4 linked regions of the Drosophila melanogaster genome follow. The protein of the gene in region 3 interacts with the protein of the main gene of each other region in a pairwise test. Each region holds a gene or a part of one and is shown on either strand. Other genes may lie near its edges. The genes, in order: RASSF8, CASK, Zasp66 and CG10841.

Evidence for each region.
Region 1: the proteins of Zasp66 (region 3) and RASSF8 interact in a two-hybrid assay, tested with the Drosophila melanogaster proteins (one large-scale study listed by BioGRID).
Region 2: the proteins of Zasp66 (region 3) and CASK interact in a two-hybrid assay, tested with the Drosophila melanogaster proteins (one large-scale study listed by BioGRID).
Region 4: the proteins of Zasp66 (region 3) and CG10841 interact in a two-hybrid assay, tested with the Drosophila melanogaster proteins (one large-scale study listed by BioGRID).

The regions. Positions count from the first base shown.
Region 1 is NT_033777.3:25,659,817-25,666,151, reverse strand, and holds RASSF8 (Ras association domain family member 8), read right to left. Parts: upstream 4,358-6,335; 5' UTR 3,738-4,357; coding exon 3,666-3,737; exon of another isoform or gene 3,519-3,665; coding exon 3,145-3,518; intron 3,003-3,144; coding exon 2,282-3,002; intron 2,215-2,281; coding exon 1,904-2,214; intron 1,843-1,903; coding exon 1,497-1,842; 3' UTR 512-1,496; downstream 1-511. Other genes in the region: Tnks (tankyrase), read left to right, coding at 5,365-5,560.
Region 2 is NT_033777.3:21,819,646-21,824,402, forward strand, and holds the start of CASK (CASK), read right to left. Parts: upstream 3,030-4,757; 5' UTR 2,838-3,029; intron 1,379-2,837; 5' UTR 1,061-1,378; coding exon 1,002-1,060; intron 122-1,001; coding exon 9-121; intron 1-8.
Region 3 is NT_037436.4:8,622,458-8,627,393, reverse strand, and holds the start of Zasp66 (Z band alternatively spliced PDZ-motif protein 66), read right to left. Parts: upstream 3,024-4,936; 5' UTR 2,912-3,023; coding exon 2,711-2,911; intron 1,186-2,710; exon of another isoform or gene 1,001-1,185; coding exon of another isoform or gene 884-1,000; intron 434-883; coding exon 285-433; intron 1-284. Other genes in the region: GAPsec (GTPase activating protein, SECIS-dependent read-through), read left to right, coding at 3,620-3,639, 3,707-3,786, 3,845-4,317, 4,460-4,936.
Region 4 is NT_033777.3:13,630,168-13,635,389, reverse strand, and holds CG10841 (uncharacterized protein), read right to left. Parts: upstream 3,449-5,222; 5' UTR 3,329-3,448; coding exon 3,293-3,328; intron 3,216-3,292; coding exon 3,089-3,215; intron 3,016-3,088; coding exon 2,872-3,015; intron 2,813-2,871; coding exon 2,640-2,812; intron 2,580-2,639; coding exon 2,373-2,579; intron 2,312-2,372; coding exon 1,930-2,311; intron 1,866-1,929; coding exon 1,655-1,865; intron 1,596-1,654; coding exon 1,158-1,595; intron 1,097-1,157; coding exon 628-1,096; 3' UTR 529-627; downstream 1-528.

The sequences.
Region 1 (6,335 bases), on a different chromosome or scaffold from region 3:
CTCTCATTATCGCAATCATCGCAATTGAACATCATTTGGTGTGGAAGAGGGCCATAAAAACGGAGCGCTCCTTCGTCCTTTTTGCTGGCGGGCCACTTTAACGCTCTCCCTCGACCACTTTGTCGATTGTGTCAATGCGATAGGATGCCCCCAAAAACGGACCATTCAAATGTATGCTCCTTTGCCTCTTTATTTCCTACGGGCCACTTTCACTGACCCGTTCACTGGGCGACACTTTTTGAAAATTGAAAGTAGCGCGCGCTTCGCCAGGAAGTCTGAGTCGCGAGCGAAGGATATCGACAAGGACAAAAGGACCAAACGCGTTCGAGCACAGCGGCCAACTGAAGCTGGTGGCAGCATGTGTTGCTGATTTTGTTTTTCCCTCCGCACAAGAAAAGCGGCCGAGCAGCTAGCTTCGTGTGGCACAGGACTTCGGGCTGACCGTTGATTTCATTTGCGGAAAATTCGTGGTGTTTCAAAAGACCAAAACCAAATGTAAATACAGACAGTTCGTTTCGAGAAAATCATAAAAATGTATTTATTAGCTAATTAGATGTAATGCAATTACAATTTGTTCTAAATCGTTTTTAGTTTAAATGTAATAGTAATATATAATATTCGATAAATTGCATTTCCGTTGGTGTTTTGTAGTTCACTATCATCATCAGTTTGTGTAAATATTAAATATTGCTAATTAAAAACATAATACATCAAAGCGACTTGTGGGTTGTCTTTTAATTGTACGCTAGCAATTATGTATGTACTAATGCTTGATACCTTTGCAATTGTTAATGCTTCGGTCTTTTGTTTCGATATCCGGTGGCTAAGGCTAAGCACTTTAAAAGTTAAACTTTTCAACAAAGCATTGCTAATTTGTTTTTTTAAAGCTGCGCTAATTGCTAAGTACAATAAGTTTTGTGTAATTCGAATTGTGAATTCTACAATGAATAATTCTGTAGGAGACAAATCACTAAGGGCACTACTTATTCGTTAGAAAGGCGTTTTTAAATTACGATACTCTCGAATTATTGCAACAATTAAAATTCATTGTCAAGTTAACAACTAATGGCGAATTGTAGAGATTGGAAAGGGTTTTTGTTAACACGTAGACTAGCAGCAAAAATTAACCAAAAGTATAGCACACAAAATTAAGATTAGGGCATGTGAATATGGGACTCATTAACTACTATTAAATACAAAGTACAGTGCGGAATGTAGAGTAATAAAACGATTGTGATTTCAAATTTGTAACATATATCATTGCATTGAGAGATCCATAGAGTGTGATTGGAATGTAAACATACTAAAACAACAATCAAGCACGTTAATTATTGTAAATATTTTTAGAATATTGTTTAAAATTGTGATATTCATAAGGAATCCATTTCGTTTCAACTCCATTATGCATTCAAGATATGTTGATCAATTTGTTCCCAAAAACATTATTTTGTTGGAGGAGAAATACGTTTAGAAAAATAGTTCTGGGTATGTGTGACTTAAACCCACACACCATGAGGATTTTTACTGGTTGGAACCGCCGTTTCAAGTTGCCTGGGCGAACCGATGATCCGCCGGCTGCTGCCCTGCTTGTTGGGTCCTTCCAATAGATGCTTGATCTCCTCCGTGGTGGTCACAGTCAGGCTCTGCAAATTCACCTCCTTCATCTCGTTGACCAGCTGCTCCACCTGCCGCTTCTTGTCCGCGATGGCATGCTCGATCATGAGTAGTTCCTTCTTTAAACTATCTGCAGTTTTGTTTGAAGTGTCAGTGTTGTGCAGAGCCTGGTCGATTTCACTCTGAATGCGCTCCATTTCCATCAAGAAGTCTCGCTCCACAGTTTGCCTGAAACAACCAAGAAGTGTGAAAAACTTAAAACAAAGCAAGTAAATTGCTATGCACTCACCTATTGGTCTGCTGTTGATGTTGCTGCTCCAGCTCAATGTCATCCATCAGCAAGCGCATTTTGTTCTTGCATTGTAGCAGCTCTGTTTCGCAATTGGCCAGCTTGGATCGCAGTAGAGCTATTTCTGATTTCAAAGTCTTCTCTTGCTGCTTGACCAATTCGTTTTCCTCTTCCACATACTGCAGAGTCTGGAGCTGTTCGCTTCCTTGCCGAAAGATTTGATCCGCCTTGGAAATCTCACGCGAAATAGCATCCAACTCGTGGGCGTGGTCGCGTTCTTTGCTCTCCAAATAAACTATTTCCGTATCGAACTAAGCAGATAAAACAAAAATAAAATAATAACATTCCAAATCAATTTAGAAACTTGAATATTTGTACCTTTTGCAATTCCATTTGCTGGGCTGTGATCTTCTCCCGCTGAAACTTGATGAGCTGCAGCAAATCGTTATACTGCGTGGTCTGGAACATGGGCTCACCCTCCTCCATGGCCTGGCTATTATTGTTGATGCTATTAGTGTTGTGGCTGCTATGCTGATCGTAGTCGCTGAGAAACGGATTCGTCGAGGAGGAGGCATTGGACATGGTGTCCGCATTGCTGCTGGCCAAACGCTGCCCCTGGCACATGGGGCTGTTTCTCGGGGGTGGCGGGTCACGATATGGTGGTGGGACTAGAGCTCCATTCGCGGAAATCGTCGGCGTTTGCTTGTACAGCTCCGGTGAGTTGTTATTGTTATTAACAATATTGTTATTATTGTTGTAGTACATTTCGTTGGGACTGGAGCGTCGGAGTTCATTGCTGGATTTGCTCAGCTGGCTGTATATATGCTGATTACTGCTGCTGTTATTGTTGTAGAAGTCATTGTAGCCATTTGTAGGTGCGGGTGGATTGCTACCCGTGCTGGTCATGTCCAGCGGATTGGACAGCGATTTCTCATGCTTTGGCACCAGTGGTGCTACATTATTGTTATCCTGCGGTGTCAGCTGCTCCTGTGGTGGACTCGCCGGTGCTCCCATGGCCGTTTGTTGTGACTGCAATTGCTGCTGCTGCGGAATTCCCTTGACGATTCCAATGTTGTCAAACTGCTTGGCATCGTGGCCCCTGAAAGAGACAAGTTTTGTCAGTTGATGGTAGCCGCACAGGTGCATATTTAAACACAGTTTGTTAGCCTATTAACAATTAGGGCTAGGTAAGCGCTTTAAGGGGTAGTTTCCAAACTAACTAGCATATAAAAACCACCCACCCGAAACTTTTTTTCAATTCCTTTGTGCGGTAGCTGAGTTCGACGTTCGACTTTTGCTTTAGCAAAGTGGGCGCTGGCTTATTATTGTTATTGTTGTTCGGCCCCAGCGGCTTTTTTGTTGTTGTCATCACAGCATAGTTGTTATTATTATTATTGTTCTGCTGCTGCTGTTGTTGTTGCTGCTGCTGCTGCTGTGTTTTGTTTTCCGAACGTTGTAATATAAACTGCACATCATTTGCATACTCGCCCCATTTGAGCAGCAGCTTCATTGGATTCTCATTGGGGGCCAGGTGGCGTTCGTTATTGCGCCACCTTTCGATTAAAGTGAATCTGCCCACTTTTCCAGTGGCATGGGCCAAAGCAAAAACCACATCCTGTGGAAAATAAAACGATAATTAGGGCAAACTGACTAGCAAACAGAGCGCATACAGTTCGGGTCACATTAACAGCACTGCAGCAGTGTAAAATGCTTTAACAAGATAATAGTGCTATTATTTTGACCTCTGCTGTAGCTCACATACCTGACATGTGGTGTTCACTGTAACGCCGCAAACTATCCGCTGGATGCCCTCGACCCAAACTTTCAGCTCCATTCCGGCTAATTGTCGTCGAGTCGAGTCTCTAAAGATCGGCCAATTATTTTCGTTTCTTGGTGTTTCTGCTACCAGAAAATTGCTTTCTTGTGCCGCTCCAGCTGGAAATGGGGTTCTACTAATGGTTTTTGGCGCTTGACTGGCGTTCTGCTGTCGCGCAGCCAGCGAAGCGTGTTAGCTGCACTCCGCCTTTCCACTTTTCCGTCTGCTTTTCCCCAACCCCACTTTTCCTCGCCTGTTTTTCTTTTTTGCTTAATTTTCCGATCACAGTTTCTGCTTCTTCTTCACTTGCACTTATTCACAGCAACAACAACAACACGACTGGTTCCATACGCTTGCATGAGTGTTTGCTGGGCGTGCGGGTATGCGCGCGTGTGTGTGTGAGCTAGAAAAATTCTGATTCACTTTTCGGATTTCCGATTTGGTGATTACTTTTGTACTTCCGGCGCGGTAACTCCGTGGTTCTTCACTTTCTAGTAAGCACGATAATCTTGTTGTGAAGCAGCTCCACTGCTTTTGTTTTGATTTCACGGATTTTTAACGGATTTAATCTAAATTTTAAAAGCAAACATTGTTGTTGGCATGGGCATCCAGTCGATGCCAAAAATCGATTGCACCAACAGCCAACCAGGGATGGCCAAACAGGTGTTTTTCAAGCTATCGATAGCAATGCCAATTGGGATTGCATGTTGTTGTAACAGGTACTTGCTATTATTTTAAAAAATTTTTTTGAGATTTTTTCCCTAGTAATAGGCTTATGTGCTTATATTAGGATAATTGAAATTCCTACATGGCCTTTTCTAATTTAAGAATTCTAATTTAAGCTCATAAAAATGATGATCTTAATTTTTGTACCACCAATTGAATATTGTCTATTTGGTTAACAAAAAAAATTGTTTCTTATAACACAATATAGATGCAAACGTCTTTTCGCTTTTCACCAAATAGTGAGTGCACACTGAAGCACAAATTTGTGTAAAACCTTGTGAGAACATAAGCTATTAAATTTAAAAAATATAATTAATGGAAAAGCTTATGTGATTCGAGGACTTCAGTATTTTTTCAGAATGGCTTGCCCCGTCGCCTGGTCACACCGCTTGACTCAACCTGGAATATTCGACCACCCCGCGAACGGTCACTCTTACTCGGTCACAAAACAATGCAATATTTCGCGGAGCAGTGAATTAATCCGGAAATAATCGTCCGTGCCCAGAGCTTTGGAGGCCAAGTACCAGGGAGCTAGTCCCAGAGTTGGTCGCAGTCTCAGTAAAAACGAATCGTAGCCAACCGCGATCCTTGCAACCGTGCTGTGTCGAACCAAAGAAATCCTATTGATTTTGGGTCTGCAATTGTGCATTAAATATTAAGCAAAAACGAGGGCTGGTCGCGTGGCAGCCAGTGGCAAATTGTTGCTCCTGCGGCATAGGCAGGACACCTGGATACAGGATGCGGGCAAGCCAGCGACGGACAACGGCGAGGCTTGTGTAGGACGGGCAGAGCAACTGCTGGAGGAGAGAACTGGACTGGGAGTGGAAAACCCGAAAGCCCACTGAATATTGCGCTTGTTTTTTGTTGCCTATTTTTTTCGGGGCGTGTGTGTGCCAAAGCGTAGCAAACAAGCACAACAATGGCCAACAGCAGCCGAAGTCGGGCCATTTTGAGCGTTAATCTCGATGCGGTCATGGCCAACGATCCGCTGAGGGAGCTCTTCGAGGCCTGCAAAACGGGCGAGATCGCCAAGGTGAAGAAGCTAATAACGCCTCAGACCGTGAACGCCAGGGATACGGCGGGACGCAAATCCACACCATTGCATTTCGCAGCGGGTAAGTGAGATGCGATGCGGTTAGATCCCATCCAAATCCCTTCCAAGGACGGTCTAAAAACGGCAGCCCACCCCACCATTCGCCCAACGAAAGGTTGAAGGACTCGCCCAAACCCCCCGCTGCAGTGCGGATTTGGCCTTGAGCTAGTTGCGCCTGGGTGTGACGGGCGTCATTGTCGTCGCTCTCGGTCGGACACTCGCCTGCTCCAATGGCGTCGAGAGTTGACCTAGTTTCCATGTCGCTTCTGCTTTTGGCTCTGCCTCCTCTTCTGCTTCTGCTTCTCCTTCCACCACCGTTCTATGTGTTCTATATGTTTGGCTTGTTTCCGGAAGACCCCCTCTCAAAAGGGGAATCCCCCGTGCTGCCCCTTTTGCCGCTGCATGTGTGCGTGCGTGCTGCATTTAAGCATTTTCTATTTTCAAAAAAGACTCATACAGCTGCGGTCGAGATAATAGCACTGCATAATTAGCCATTTCAATGAGAGCTTTCACTGTCTCAGCACTGGAAATTGAATGTTTAACACACATATATCATCTGATTAGCTTTGTTTGTTTACACGTAGAATCCCATAGATAAAGGTCTGCAACATATGGTCTGATTGTATAGCTAACCTGTTTCGCAGGGTTTAGTTAGATGCTTGGCCTTTAAATATTAGATTGGGTAAACAAAATAACTCGTGCTAACATATTTATTTTATTTACATTTTTCAACTGTGAGTGATCAAATGATTAATCCTTCGTAATACAAGCATGCATGTTTTTTAACTATTATTTCG
Region 2 (4,757 bases), on a different chromosome or scaffold from region 3:
ATCCTCACCCGCTGTGCTCAGTCCAGGACTCGCTGTGAACTTGGCCACATCAACGATTTTGACGGCAAACTGCTGATTGGACTCCCTGTGTATGCATCGCCTTACGATGGAGAAAGGTCCTCTGTAAGAAACAATCCCGGATGGGGGGGGAATAAAGTAAATTCGGATTAAACTTCAATTGAAAGTTGATTGTGTCTAAATGGGAGCGAATAAAATTTTATCTTGCTTCGACAAAAGCAAAATATTTATATTTTCCGAGCGTCTAAAAGCAAACAAGATACTTGAGAAAGAGGAAATTTAATCAACTATGTATTCTCTTTGTAGTTACAAACGTGGGGTTTTAATACAAAAGCTTGCCATAACATTACTGATGATTATTTTACAAATAAATTTTAATTTTCTTACAAATTCCTATTCAATAACTCATTTAAAGTCAAGCAACGATTTCCTATCATCTTGTTTTATGAGCGTGATTAATTTTTATTGAACTATGTCACCAAGCTGAATTTGGAAAACTATTGCGATTCAAGGTCGTCATTTTGCTTATAGTTTATAGATTATAAATTGCAAAAAATTAAAAAACGTGCTATTTAGTGACTCACACTTCATTTTCAATAAACTTTAGAAGTGTGTTAATGGAACATTTTCAACATCAGTGAAAAATATTTTTCCAACGAAATTAAACAAAGTTCAACTTAATAACATTGACAGCTTTGTGAATGAACTTCTGGCTAAACTATGATGATCACAGCAAAAGTAACTAGCACAGAAAATGTTTGGTCATACATTTTTGAATAATGCAAAAGTTGGGCGTTTGGGAAAGTTTTTTATAGAGGGGAGCTGGCTTCGTCCCAGGCCAATAGTTGCATGATTTACGGCTTCTGGGTGGGTGGGATGGGCATACGGGGCGGATACATAATACATAATGAGATAATGGCCATGGATGCCAGCTGTCAGCAGCAGAATCGGCTAAAGATATAGCCGGTGGGGCGCTAACTTACTTGCCAATGACCTCGCACAGCTCGTAGACGTCGTCAAAGAGAATTTCGTCTTCGGTCATTTTGAATAATTGATGAATTGATGCCTCGACTCAATTGCTTTTTCGAATATTGATGAGTTGTGTCCTGTTTTTCGTGTCCGTCGCTTTTCCTTCTCCCGCTTCCTTTGCCCGTCGTCGCCTACTGCCCTCCAAAAACGAACATAAAAAATAAACAAAAAACTAAGCGGCCAGTGAGCAACTCCAAAACTTTGAGCGTTTTCCTTCGGTTTCTTCTGATGATTTGTTGTTAATGGTATTGTTATTGGTGTCGTTGATTCGTTGTTGCCGCTAATGCTGTTGCTGTTTTCGTAGCTGCTGATGTTAAGAATGCATTTTGCGCTGGAAAAATATAACAAGTGAAAATGGTGAAGGTGAGTTTTTCCATTAGTTGAAGGCCGCTAATCAGATTTATTTGGCGTCTAATTAAGAAACTGTCAAGAAGCTTTGCGAGAATTCTGTCAAGCAGATGACGCAAATATAAACAAATTTGTTTACATTTGTGAAAAATTATACACAGATTTTAATCAAGAAAATTTGCTAATAATTTCCTAAATATTTTGTAATCTTACTTACAAACTAAGTTAAGTTTATAATGCTATCTGAATCAATCAAATTGAAAATGCCACTATAAAGTTGGGCTGGCGTGTTGACACTTGTGTGATGGGAACACTTTTCGAGGGACCACTGTTAATGGTGTCGCAACGGAAATGAGACTGGCCTGGCCGAAACTTGTTTGATATGTCAATCACACTCATATCAGGTGTAAACCCCAATCAATTACAGGCGGCACACACCACAAATGCACAAAATGCTGTCGAAAGTGCCAATGGTAGGAAGGAAGTATCCCCGCACAGTGGGCGTTGTGAATTTTGCAACGGAAATGATGGCCAGCTGAAAAGGTAAACAAGCCAGCAGGACCTGCAGAATGTGTCCTTTTCGAGGGTCTCGTTCCAAGGATGTTCGCGGGGAAAGTTCGCAGGGGGGGAGGGTGGATGGGAGGCGCTACCTTTGTCTTGGCCATACTATTATTATGCCTTTTGGTCCAGCACTTGAACATACTTTTCAAAACTTTGATGGCACTCCAAAAATCCGAAAGGAGAAAGCCAGAGAGCGAGAGAGTGTGAAAGAGAGCGAAGGAGTGCGAGAAAGATGGCGAGCATGGATGTAAAGTGCGCCGGCGCCGTGGGAAATTCGTGTAAAGCACCAAAATTGTAATCGTAAAAAATATAAGCTATGCTTTCTGCCCGGGCTGCATGAATATTTAAATGTGCAACAATTTACGATGCACACACGAAATGTGGAGAACTGAGTTGCGACTGCGAGAGCAGGACGGAGCATTTGCGGGGAATCCCCGCGAAGGACTTTCTGGTAGTCATGTTTAATGCAGAGCTGCGCATGGGGCGCGGTGTTTTTGGCTCGGTTTTAGTATTCGGGCTCGAGGGTTTTACCTTGCTCGTGTGCCGCTGTTGTAAAATGCCTTGACACTTTCCACACGACCTTACCGCCCACCTCACTAACGCACCCACCCACACCCACATACACTCACTCACTGACTATGTGTGTGCATTTGGCCCTGCTTTTAGGACTTTTTGAGACTCTCGAGTGTCGCACAATTGGCAAATTGATTCTTTGTCTAAAGGATTTGCATTGCTCATGTTCCACGCCCCCTTATCAACGACACCGCCCCCTTTATCGGCCACACATAGAGGGGGCCACACTCACACCACACACACACACACACACACGAACACACACTGGCACGAACAATTCGCATATAGTTTTATGTACGAAAACCCACCGATTTGGCAGCGATTCTTCAACGGCCGCTGGTTTTTGGCATTTTAGCGAATCGCATTAGCACTCGATTGTCTAGGTGCGCAGCACGAATCGCCTGGCAAGCTGATTGCATTGGGTAATTTACTAATTTTAACTTAAAACAAACACGGCCCGTGAGGAATTGATTGGCGAAGAACTGGTTGCAACTGAACCGGTTCGCCGCGAACTAGAATTCCAGGGCTGCAGGTGCATTGCTGGATTGGTTCGGAACTTGGAGTCGGTTCACGGCTCTCCCATTGAAAATTGATACCAACCTGTGTTCATTAAAAATATTGTTTTTAAAATAAATTTAAGGGTGGTACTGCAGCAACTTACTTCGTTAATCAAAGTTTTAATTCAAGAAAGTTTGTTTGAATCAAGCAACTGGTTATACTGGAAAAATACCAGAAACCCGTTGGTATCTAAGCTTTTCTGTCATTTTGTTATTAACTTTATTTGGTCTGTTAAAATTTGCGCGGAAGTTTTTGAAAAAAAGTTTTGGGGACGAGAAAGTATAATTTTGGAATATTGTTAAGAATATAGTCATTCATAACGACACAGATGTTTTATCGAAATTGAAAATAAATACTATTAAAACTTTAATTTTGTTAAAGAAAAAGTAAATTATATTTTCCTGCTCCTTTCTCTTCGGTAGCATTTTGCATATGCTTTTATTTGCTTGACTTATCAGCAAAAGGCAGTTGTTTTCCTTTGATAAATACCCACTGCATGCTTAATAAATTTACTCGAAAGTAAGATAATTCATTGCACACTGAATTGTTTCCGCTTGAGTGAAGTCAAATGGAGGTAAATATTTATGCGGTACGCAAGCAAGTGCATAAAGCTATTGTGGAATATTGCACATACGAATTTCGAACACTTTCCAGTTTTATCGGCAATACGATGCCAATTACCATTCATCAACTTGAAAGTAAACATTTTCCCCTTCAAAAATGATTCACGATTTATTTAACTGGACTAAGCCACCAGTGTGTTAATACAGGGATTTTCACTACAGAACCTTTATCAACTTACTTTATCGCCAGGCTCGTTCACAGCTCATTGAATATTACCATATTATTTACATTACTTCTCTTTCGCGCCATTCAACTTTATCTATTATTATTATTATTACCCCACAGCATTTGATAAACCCATTAGAATAAATTAAGATCTTGGCATTAATATGCCAGGCACACACACAGGAGTCCCTCAACCGAAGACGAGGAAAACCCACACGCACTCCTCGAAAATAAAAAATAAAAACCGTAGGTGCGTAATCTTTAAATCAGTTGGAAGGGGCTGGTGACGGGGGCCAATACTCAAACATAAACATCATCAATTACAAAACCTCGAACAGCAACAACAACAACAATCACCGCCAAACGCCCAACGACAACAACACACAGATAAGATGCAAGAGAAACAACAAGCCAATAAGGGAGCAACAAACACAAAACCATCAGCCAAATGAAGAAAGACCTGATGAAAATGAACTCAATATGGCCATATTACTACGGGGGATATAGTCGAAAAGGATAAGCACCAACAACCATTTCGAGATGAGCAGCAAAAACAACAAGTGTTAATGATCAGCAATAACAACAGTGGTCACCCACTAATGTCCACCTTTCGATTGTAAAATAGCAGCCAATTAAATTATACGCACTATGAAATATTCAGAAATAATAAAAAAGTAATTAATTTTTTTTTTAATTTATACAACTTCTTTCATAATTTGTGAGATCAATCAAATAGTTTGGGTATAAACTAAAAAGTACACACCTTCCTCATTCTTAAGTGGTTTTACCTACTTGTATCAGCCAGCTAAAATATATAGAAAAGAAAAAAAAATTTTGTTTTTTTATTTAAAACGCGAATCTTGAAAAATATATATATATAA
Region 3 (4,936 bases):
ACAGACCATACAAAAGAAAAATCAGTTCCTAACGTTTCTTAGTGCAAATTGATCCAAGACGAAGGTTTCCTTTTGGCAATGGAGTAAAACTTAAGTTAAGTTTTTTATACTATGACTATAATCAACTAACTTTTATGATGATAAAAGCCCTGTTTAAAAAACAGAAAACTAAAATGAAGGTGTTCTCTTTACTCAATACACTTGACACTCGTAGAAGAAATTGATGTTAAACATACGGAACTGATTGGTATCTTTGATGCAGATACACGGATTTCCTGGCTCACCTGTGCACCACCAGGCGGATCTCGTTGCCAGCGCCGCGGAACAGCTGCTGTGCATCCGCATGACTCAGGTCGCGTGCGTCGTACTCGCCGATCTTCGAGATGATGTCGCCTCTTAGAAGTTCGCCATGCGCTGGGCTGCCCACTTGCACCTGCAACGGGTGGGGTGGAAAAGGAGGTGGGAAGGTCATTAGACACACATAGTATAGGGTGCAACGGGCTGGTTGCAACCTTGACACAGATTTATGGGTGCCTAAATAGATGCAGACAGAATTATGATCGCCAAAATGTGTGTGTTTACATCGCAGCTCAGTGAAAAGGGGGTAGGTAGGAAAAGTGGAAATTTTCTTCGACTATTCGGTTGCGCCTCAATTAGTTTTACTGGCGTCGCATTTTGGCAACGCTGCAGCGTTTATTGTTGCTGTGCCCGTTTCGCTATTTTGATTTGTTGTTGTTTATTTGGGCGCTGAGAACAAAGCGGCATGCGGGGCACAAAGGCCAATCGCTTTTCCTCAGGCATTTCTTCTCTGGCTCAATTTTGATGAATGGACCACAAGCGACCACAAGGCGACAGTCTCTCTGGTTATATAACGCCCATTTACCCTGGTGATAATTAGCGGCGTGTCCAGATCGTTGCCGCCCACCAAACGAATGCCCCAGGGCGTGGCCTGACCATCGCGCAGTAGCACCACCGCAAACTCATGCAGCTTGGGGCTCATCCTGATGTTGAAGATAGACTGGAAGATCAGACGCTCATCCGATCCAGCGATGGTTTATCCCGAAAATATATATTTATTTTTTATTGTTTATTTTTTTTTCTGGCCTTTTCTGGCCGAGCCGCAGGCGGCGCGCGATTGCAATCCGTTAAGCGTTTTGTTCGATCGCAAAGCTGCTCAAGTACTAATTTTAAAATACAATTCGTATTCCTTTTTGCAGCAACAGCAGCGGCAGCAGAGTACACTGCGCCACAAGTTTGTTTCTTACATACACATATGTACATACATGTACAACTTATATCCGCCGGCAACGGCGACTACATGCTGAGAAACATGAATTCGATTGGCGAATCCTAATCGTTAAATGGGGTTTCCGCTAAGAGCACTCTGAATTTCTCAGAGCGGATGTCGTGGATTCAAAAAGCATCAGGAGCATTTACCTCGGCAAAGCTCATAATTACCACAAGATAATTAGGCGTATACTTGATAAGCGGCTGCATATCAAATTACGCATACGCAGTGTTAATAAACATGATTGCTTGCATGTGTGCCATGTATTTAAAGCTTTACTATTTTCATTATTATATATACCCAAATCGCGAAGAGCATCCGCAAGCCACCACAAACTCAAACCTTTTCCCACATTGTTCCCATTGTTTAATTCGACGTGTGCCCTGCATTTGTGGCATTCTGCATTTCGTTGACCACATTTTAGGGCAGCACTTGATCCAGTTGCACGCTGACCCTGAAGAGATGAATGCCACATATCATCATCTAGGCGAATGCTTTGATGAGCTAGCTCGCCTGATGCAAAAAAGCATAAAAATCAAGTATCTAGGCATCTGTTTTTCCTCGACATTTTCGACTATTTTATTAGTGTTTTATTCCTCTCCGACTTGTTTGCCGAACGATGAGGCAACCAAGAGAGAGTGTAATTAGTTTTAGTTACTGAGGCGGTACTAGCACAACTGCAACAACCAATTCGACACTCTTGCCCAATTTAAATAAGCAAATCATATTAGATTTTTAATGCATTAGTCAATGGAAAAGTCTACGGCCAACGTGACGTATACGCAATATGAACGGGTCAACGGTTGAAGGACGTTGGTTTGTATTAAACATTCTGTCTGCCTCTCGATTTTGGCAACAATTTTACTGTTTACAGCGGAAAAATCTTTTCCTGCCTTTTGGCTTTTCGCTGAATATATACACAATATATGGCTTGCCATTTCATTTTTAATTTTATACATTCTGATTTCGGCACTTTTTGGCTGGCTCTTGAAATGTTTTTACTATTTGCGGCTTGAATTGTTTTCATTTCATTTTCAATTGGAATTCGTGTAATGTTTTTACGGTGACTTTTGCTGTAGATCAGCCTTGAGCGGATTGTAAATCATTCGAAATTCTTCACCCAACGTCTTGCGAATGGTATAAAAGTCATGCCAATGGAAATATAGATCCATCCATCTTTTTTGGGCCATTTTACTTGACCGAAAAGTGCAGCAGTGGCCAATTAATTAGATTTGGCTTGACAAATTTACGAGCCGCAAGGGGCGAAATGTTATTGAACTGATTTCTGAGTCGGCCTGTTGTGAATTGGGGCCACAAATACATTGGAATACGAATAAGAAAAGAACACACGCGCGATGATTGACAAGCCGGGCGATTTGAAAGGGGTTGGGGCTTCCACTTTTCTCGGCCACTTGGACTTACCCCCACGTTTTGCTCATCGGCAAAATGGACGCGCTTCTTCAGTCCGCTGCTGCTGCGCCGCCTGCAGGGCGATGGCAGCGGTACGAGCGGCGGTTTTGGGGTCGGCTGTGGACGATAGGACGTGGGCAATTCGTAACCGGGCACCTTCCAGAAAGCCGGTCGACTGAATGACGCGGACGCCGATGATCTGCTGGTCGTCATTGCTGGCCAGCGACTAGAGTAAACAAAAGAAATGCTCCGCACATTCAGAAATATGCGCTAAATTCTACGATTCGAACGCGTCTGCTCGCGACTGCGTGTGTGTGTGCACTAGTAGGCAATTGAAAAATCAAATAAAAGCGGAGAAAAAATCAGAGAAAATGAGCGAAAACAGAATATTATTATTCATTCAAAATCCAGTGAAATAGTGAGACGCGGAGAATTATGAATGGATTAATTGATGTTTCAGTTAGTAAATTTGATTGAGCAAAGAAAATACATACAAGCAATATCTAATAATCATGATTTAATCATTTTCATTTACAATTTAAACAATAGCGCCTTCAGCTTTACAAGATCTGGCAACCAGCTTAAAAACAGTTTTTCAATTAATTAATTAAAAAGAACAATACAATTAAGACAGAAGGTAATTACATACATTTTTACGAGGACAGTAAACCATTTAAAATTTCGATTTATTTATAAAATTTAATCGTTAAAAACTTTGAATTTTACCGCCCAATGCACTCAAAAATCGATAGTCGCAGAGAATAATCGATTAGAGCTCGAACCATCTGGCAACGCCCATTGTTTTGTTGTGTTTTATACCTGCAGATTTCACCCAGCATAAAACTGAGATAAAGCTTTAATTAATTACACATAGGGGTACTGCAAGATCTCAGCATAGCCCCGCCCACATAAAGCCGCAGCATGTCTATTTTCAAGGCGCGGTAAGCTGTTATTCTAAGCTAATCCAAACTTCTCCGTAAACAAAGACTTTCTCTAACCAAAATGCAGAGTCAAGGAATTTGAGGATGTTTTGGCGGGGCCACAGGATTTAATTGACCTGAAACAACTCAGGAAACTGGCATTTAATGGTAGAAAGCTAAGAGTGCATTTGAAATGTTCAAAATTTGAAGTCTGAGCACTCCACAGGTGTGCCCGATGTGCAGAGTTTTCGAGCACTCAGTTGGAAGCTACTCCTTGGCTATTTGGGGCCTAGGCGCAGTAGTTGGACCACAACCTTGGCCCAAAAGCGAGCCCTGTATAAACAGTTCATCGAGGAGCTAGTCCTGCCCCCCGGACACTCGAGCAATAGAGCTAGCGTAGACGGAGGAGATGGGGACAAAGTCGATTCGGGGGGCGTTGGCCTGCAAGATCATCCGCTGAGCGAGGGACCCGAAAGCGCGTGGAACACGTTCTTCAATGATAACGAGTTTCTACTGCAAATCGACAAGGATGTCCGCCGCTTGTGCCCGGACATATCCTTTTTCCAGCAGCCCACCGATTATCCCTGCGAGATTGTGGTCCACAGCAAAGGAGAGCATGGACGAAGGCTCCACGAACGGGTGGTTCCCGCCGTTCTAAGTTCGGCGAATGTGGAACGCAAGGGCCTCGGCATGACAAAGGTGAGTTCAAGATCGGAATTGTGCTAGACAATAAGCTCAGAATGTGTTGTTTCATTCATGCATACCGTGTGGATTTTAGCAGCAAGTAAGTAAGCCCATCTGGAACTGCCCCAAACCTAATGAATATGTGTGCTCTATATAGATAAATTTGATTACAAAACGCTCCGTTGAAAACTATGCCGCCATGGAGGAGGGCCAAGAGGCTCACTGGGAAGTTGTGCAACGCATTTTGTTCATCTATGCCAAACTAAATCCCGGCCAGGGATATGTCCAGGGCATGAACGAAATCGTGGGACCCATTTACTATGTTATGGCCTCCGATCCTGACCTCACATATCGCGCCCACGCTGAGGCTGATTGTTTCTTTTGTTTTACCGCCCTGATGAGCGAGATAAGAGACTTTTTTATTAAAACACTAGACGACGCAGAAGGCGGCATCAAGTTCATGATGGCCAGGCTATCGAATATGCTGAAATCAAAGGACCTAAGCATTTACGAGCTACTCAGGAGCCAAGAGCTGCATCCGCAGTATTACAGCTTCAGGTGGCTCACACTGCTCCTGTCGCAGGAGTTTCCACTGCCAGATGTACTGCGCATTTGGGATTCCGTGTTTGCGGAC
Region 4 (5,222 bases), on a different chromosome or scaffold from region 3:
AACAAACCACCATATTACATAATATACTAGTACAGAGCAGAGAAAGCGGAAACGATATTAGTTTTTGTTTTCCGGATATGTGTATTACGCTCATAGACTACATATATACATACATAATACATAATACATCTATATTTATGTACACTTCTGAAAGGGAAGAGATTTATATTTTAATAAAAATCTAAAGTCACACTCTCTACGTACACACCCACAATTGTATAGACCACTGCAAGAATGCGAATTGTTAAATCAAATCTATCTATGTATACACTACTATAGCTATATGAAAATCTTTATGAAATCGTCCGACCGTCAAGCTGAATGGATGGCATTAATATATGTAAATGCCGATGTGTGCTGGACGGGCAGTTTAGGTAGCATTTCGAGGAAATCAATACATGGAAGCGTGGATTTTCCCCCTTAAAAAAAAAAAGAAATTAAACATTCTCAAGCGAAATTACAACCTAACTTAATTGAATGATAGGAGATCAGTTTTAAAGCGAACATTACATTAAAGAAACCTAAATTAAAAGAATCCACCAATTGTTTTTTTTATTTTACTGATAACATTCAAAAATTTGGACAAATGATACACTTGGAATTTGGAGAGGGTTAGTTTTCGCGCCACTAATAGTTGCGCTTCATTTGACCGGTGGCAAAGAGCACGTCGAGGATTTTCAGGAACTCCCGGTAGTTGAACTCCATGCACATGCCCTTCTTCACGCCGAAGCACTTGCAGATCGCTTGGAACTCGCGGCTGCTCAGCATTACATGCATGTCGCGCACCGTGATGCCGCGCAGGAATTGATTCTGCGTGATCGAGCCGCACTGTTCGCGATCGAAGTCCTTGAACAGCTGACTCAGATTGGAGATCTCGTCCGGTTTGCGGGCCAACTTCATCAGGGCCTGCGAGCAGATGGTTCGCTCGTCGAAGCTCAGGAAGCAGTCGACGCAGTCCAGATTGGGCAAATGGAGCAGTGGCACGGCGGTCACCACCTGGTCACCCATGTTCGTGTCCAGTTGGATGAAGATCTCGTCGAGGGCCTTGCAGAAATCGCGATAGCGAATGCAGGACACGCGATTCGGTGAACGGAAGCTGGTCATGTTAAAAGGATATAAATGAAATATAATACATATACAAGTTGCGAATTACTCACATGTTGCACAAGATGTTAGCTTCCTCTTCCTTGATGATTACACTTGAGTTATCCAGGGCTCGCTTGAAGTCCGATTCAAGGATCTCGCCCTCGCGATGGCGATCGTAGTCCTTCATGAACTCGATGACGGCCACGCTCTTGACCACAGCCTGTCGCTTGGCGTTCGTAAGGATGCGCACGATCACCTCCTCGCTGACATCCTCGGGATCCAAATTGTCTCTCGCAAACGGTGGACACTCCACCAGTTGCTGCTTGGTGACCAGCGCTGGCATGGCATACTCCGCCGGATCGACGTCGTCCAAAAACTTGGTGTAGCAAAAGCCCAGCTCGTTTCCATACCGACTCAGCACAGAGTCCTGCTCCGGATCGGACAGAAGGATGCCATTGGTGCGAAAAATCTGCTTGGTAATGTTGCAACGCACATGTCCACTGTTGAGTCTGGAAAGGAAACGCCAAATAGTTCAATCTTCATTTAAGATCGGTATCGGTAAACTTACTTATCGTAGCTTCGGAAGAATGGATGCAGATAGAGGCGACGATTGCGGATGCGTATCTTAATCTTGGCCATGGCATCCTCACACAGATCACGAACATTAGCCGACACAGACTCCCAGGGCACGGCGCCGGGTCTGGGCAACTCCTGGATGTGACGAAGTGGCGATTCCACGACACACTGTGGCATCTTCTCCAGGTTCTTAATGGTGAATACTAAAAATATAATACATATATATATATAGAGAGTTTAGTGCTCATAGTGTTCATTACTCTTCACCTGTATCGATCTCATCAGCGAAATTGCGCCAACGCACTCGATTGATATCCACGGGATCAGTGTAGCGTTCCAGCAGAATGGACATTTCCCTTTGGGTCAGATATTTTCCCACTCCCATGTTCGATAGACCGCGCTCAAATTGATTCTTGGTGATGCTGCCCACGTTTAGGCTGTCATAGCACTCTAGGAACTCGGAGGTGCGCACTTGGTTCTTGTAGATGTAGTTCTGAATGCAGAACAGAATGTCGCACTGATTTCGATTCTTTTTGGGTGTACTGCAGGCATCGGGAAAGATTGGATGCACTGCCTTGCAACCATCAATAGCTGGCAGTTGGGAAAGTTCTAGGTCCACTAAACGTCCCGGAAAGTCCTTGATAATATCCTACATTCGGAACACATTTCATCATACGCGCGAATTCTTTAGCATTGAAGTTAGCACTTACATGTGAGTTGTCCAGCAGATGATGCTCGCCCAGGTATGCTATAATATTATCGATGTGCTTGAGGAAAGCCACATAGTTGACCAGGTAACCATCCTTCATATAGCGTCTGAGGAGGAGCAGAAAATCGGACTCCGAAAGTGGTATCTTCATAAAGTGCAGCACACGAGAAAAGTGCGCAACGGTAACAACTCCAACATTTTGTGCAATCTATAAATAAATGTAATAGCTTATTAATATGGTGGATATATGATTAAGCAAATCAATTACTAGTTCGTAGTCCTGAAAGTAGGGCATGAGCGGAATATTGCATAGTTGGGCAATCTTGAGCAGGATCAGGCAGAGACGTCGTCGATCCTCCGGCTGGGGTACAACATTCACATGCCAGGGATCGTTCCACTCCAGTCCCGTAGCTAGATCACTTTTGGCGGTCTTATGCAGTGCTAAAATTATATGTTAAATAGATATAGCATTGATACAATTTAACCAAAAACCAACTTACTTTCGCTGCAGACGACCTTGCAGAACTGACGATACGCTACGCGTCCATCTCGAATTTGGAAATAGTCAGTGACATCCCGGAGTTCCGACTCGGACAATCCGGCCACCTTGCGATACTTGCCCAGCACGGCGGTGAAAATGGGCTCTGGAGTAGATGGGTTAGGTCGTAAAAAGGGGGCGCAATAAAAATGGGAAATACATCCGAAGGATGTGCTCACCGGACACGAAGCCACTGCAACAGGGATCATGCTGCTTTAAGTCGGCGCAGATGTCAAAGTTATAACGAAAAATGGCGCCCTGGATTTTACGACATCCTCGCCAGATTTGATTTAGCTCCATCTCCTCCTAAACGGTGGCATTCAAATTAGTTGAATACGTTTAATGGCCAACACATATGACTGGCAATAGAATGGACAACTCACTCTGTCATCACCCTCTTTAATCTTGGTCGAATGCATCTTGGTTTGGTAAAAACTTTTTTCGGATTTTTTATTTTTCGATTTGCAGCACAATATGTGGAAAATGTTTACAAAACTCCTTAAAAGGTGTAAGGGTGTCTGTTTGTGTGTGTGTGTGTTAGCGGTAACCCGTTGAAACAATGAAATCAAGGGCTACTTGGCCAGCTTGGCCATTACAAATTGGATTTCTCCGCTGCGCCGTGTTTGCTTTGTTCCCGTTTCTCCCAGGATGCCGCGACTCACGCAAGGAAGCCGTCGAGCAGTGCTACACTAATCACTTCCTTCGCTGGCAGGACGCAAGGACCTGGGACCTGGGTCCCGGTGGCCAGGAGCCGGCTTTCACTTTTCTACAAATCGCCTCAAATCACGCGCTCATTCGTCCAGCAGTTTGTCGCAATGCCACCAACACTTTGATTCAATTTTCTATAAATGGCAGGGGTGAAGGAAAACAGCATGGGAAAACAAAAGGGGTGAGGGAAAAATATCACAATGATTGAAAAAAAAAAAACATCCTGGCATCATCAAATGCAATTTCATTTTATTGGAAAATCGCTGGCCAACCAACCAAGCAAACCGCATCTAAAGCCAACTAACAGTAACAAATCACTGGAAAAATAGCAATTACAAACTAAGTATTTTAAAATGTATATAAACATTTGGAAATTATTGTATAATTTTTTAAAGTCTCTTAATAGCAGTTAAGAAAAGAATCCAGTGTTAATATATTGTTAATATAGTTTCCTACTTTTAAACACCGTTCAAAGTGATTTTTAGACTCTATTGACATTTTTACGCACCTGATGTTGCCTCAAAATATTTACCTCAGTGTGGCAGCAGCAAAAGGCAACCTTGTGCAGAACTGACTCTTATGTTAGTAACCTAACCCAGTGACCCTACCACCCTGCAACGCCCAGTTCTAGTCAAGGTTGATTGGCGACGACAGGTGCCCATACACCCGTACACCTGCCCACTTCAAACTGGCCATTCTGGCCACTTCTGGCCACGCGACTAAAAATAAGCTAAAGGGCGGTCCTTGCTGGCATTTCTAGTGTTTGTTTAGATGCCCTTTTTGTTCCCAGAGTCACGAATGTCGCACTCTTATGGAGTCAATGCGCCAAATGCCTAGGTAAATATCATTGTTGGTGCAGTGATATTAATGTAGCATGATTGCATGAAAATGCTAAAGGTTAAAATGCACATATTTAGCAAAAATAAAGCTATATAATTTCTATAGAATTATACTAGTATTTTGGTCCTCCAAGCCGCATTAAATGTTTTACAATAAGCATTTAACTATTCTGCAATATACACAACTATAACTTATGATTCTACATTATAAGTCAAAAATTCTAGAATTTTGGTCCTTCAAACCGCATTCAATAATTTTAATAAGCATATAGCATCATTGGATGTTAATTTCATAAATCTAAAGCGGCACATTAGGTGTGATTTAAATTGACCCGTTTAGCATAAAATGGTTTTATTACGCTCCGTTTTGTTGCAAATCTCCGTGTTTAATTAAATTTGTTTATATGCGTGTCGGCAAATTGGTTTGCAGAATCGTAATACCCGGAAACGGTTAGTTGGCAGTCATAAAAATGAATTGCAATCATTATCGTTGCTTAGATGAGGTTTGCAGCCATCCAATTCCGCACAACCCCCCTGCGTTACCTTTGAAGCGTGCTTTATTGCAATTTTTATTGCACATTTTTGATTTACTCAGCCATTGAAGCCACGGGCTTTTGAGCTGCCGGAGCTGGTTTCTGGTTGGGGCATTTGGCTTTTGGCCCGGGGCTATGTGCGTGTGGGTTGATGGCCAGGACATCGATTTGCTCGTGTTTTGTCCTTACTGCCTGACCCGTTTGATTTGATGCGGTGTTAAATTATAATTACA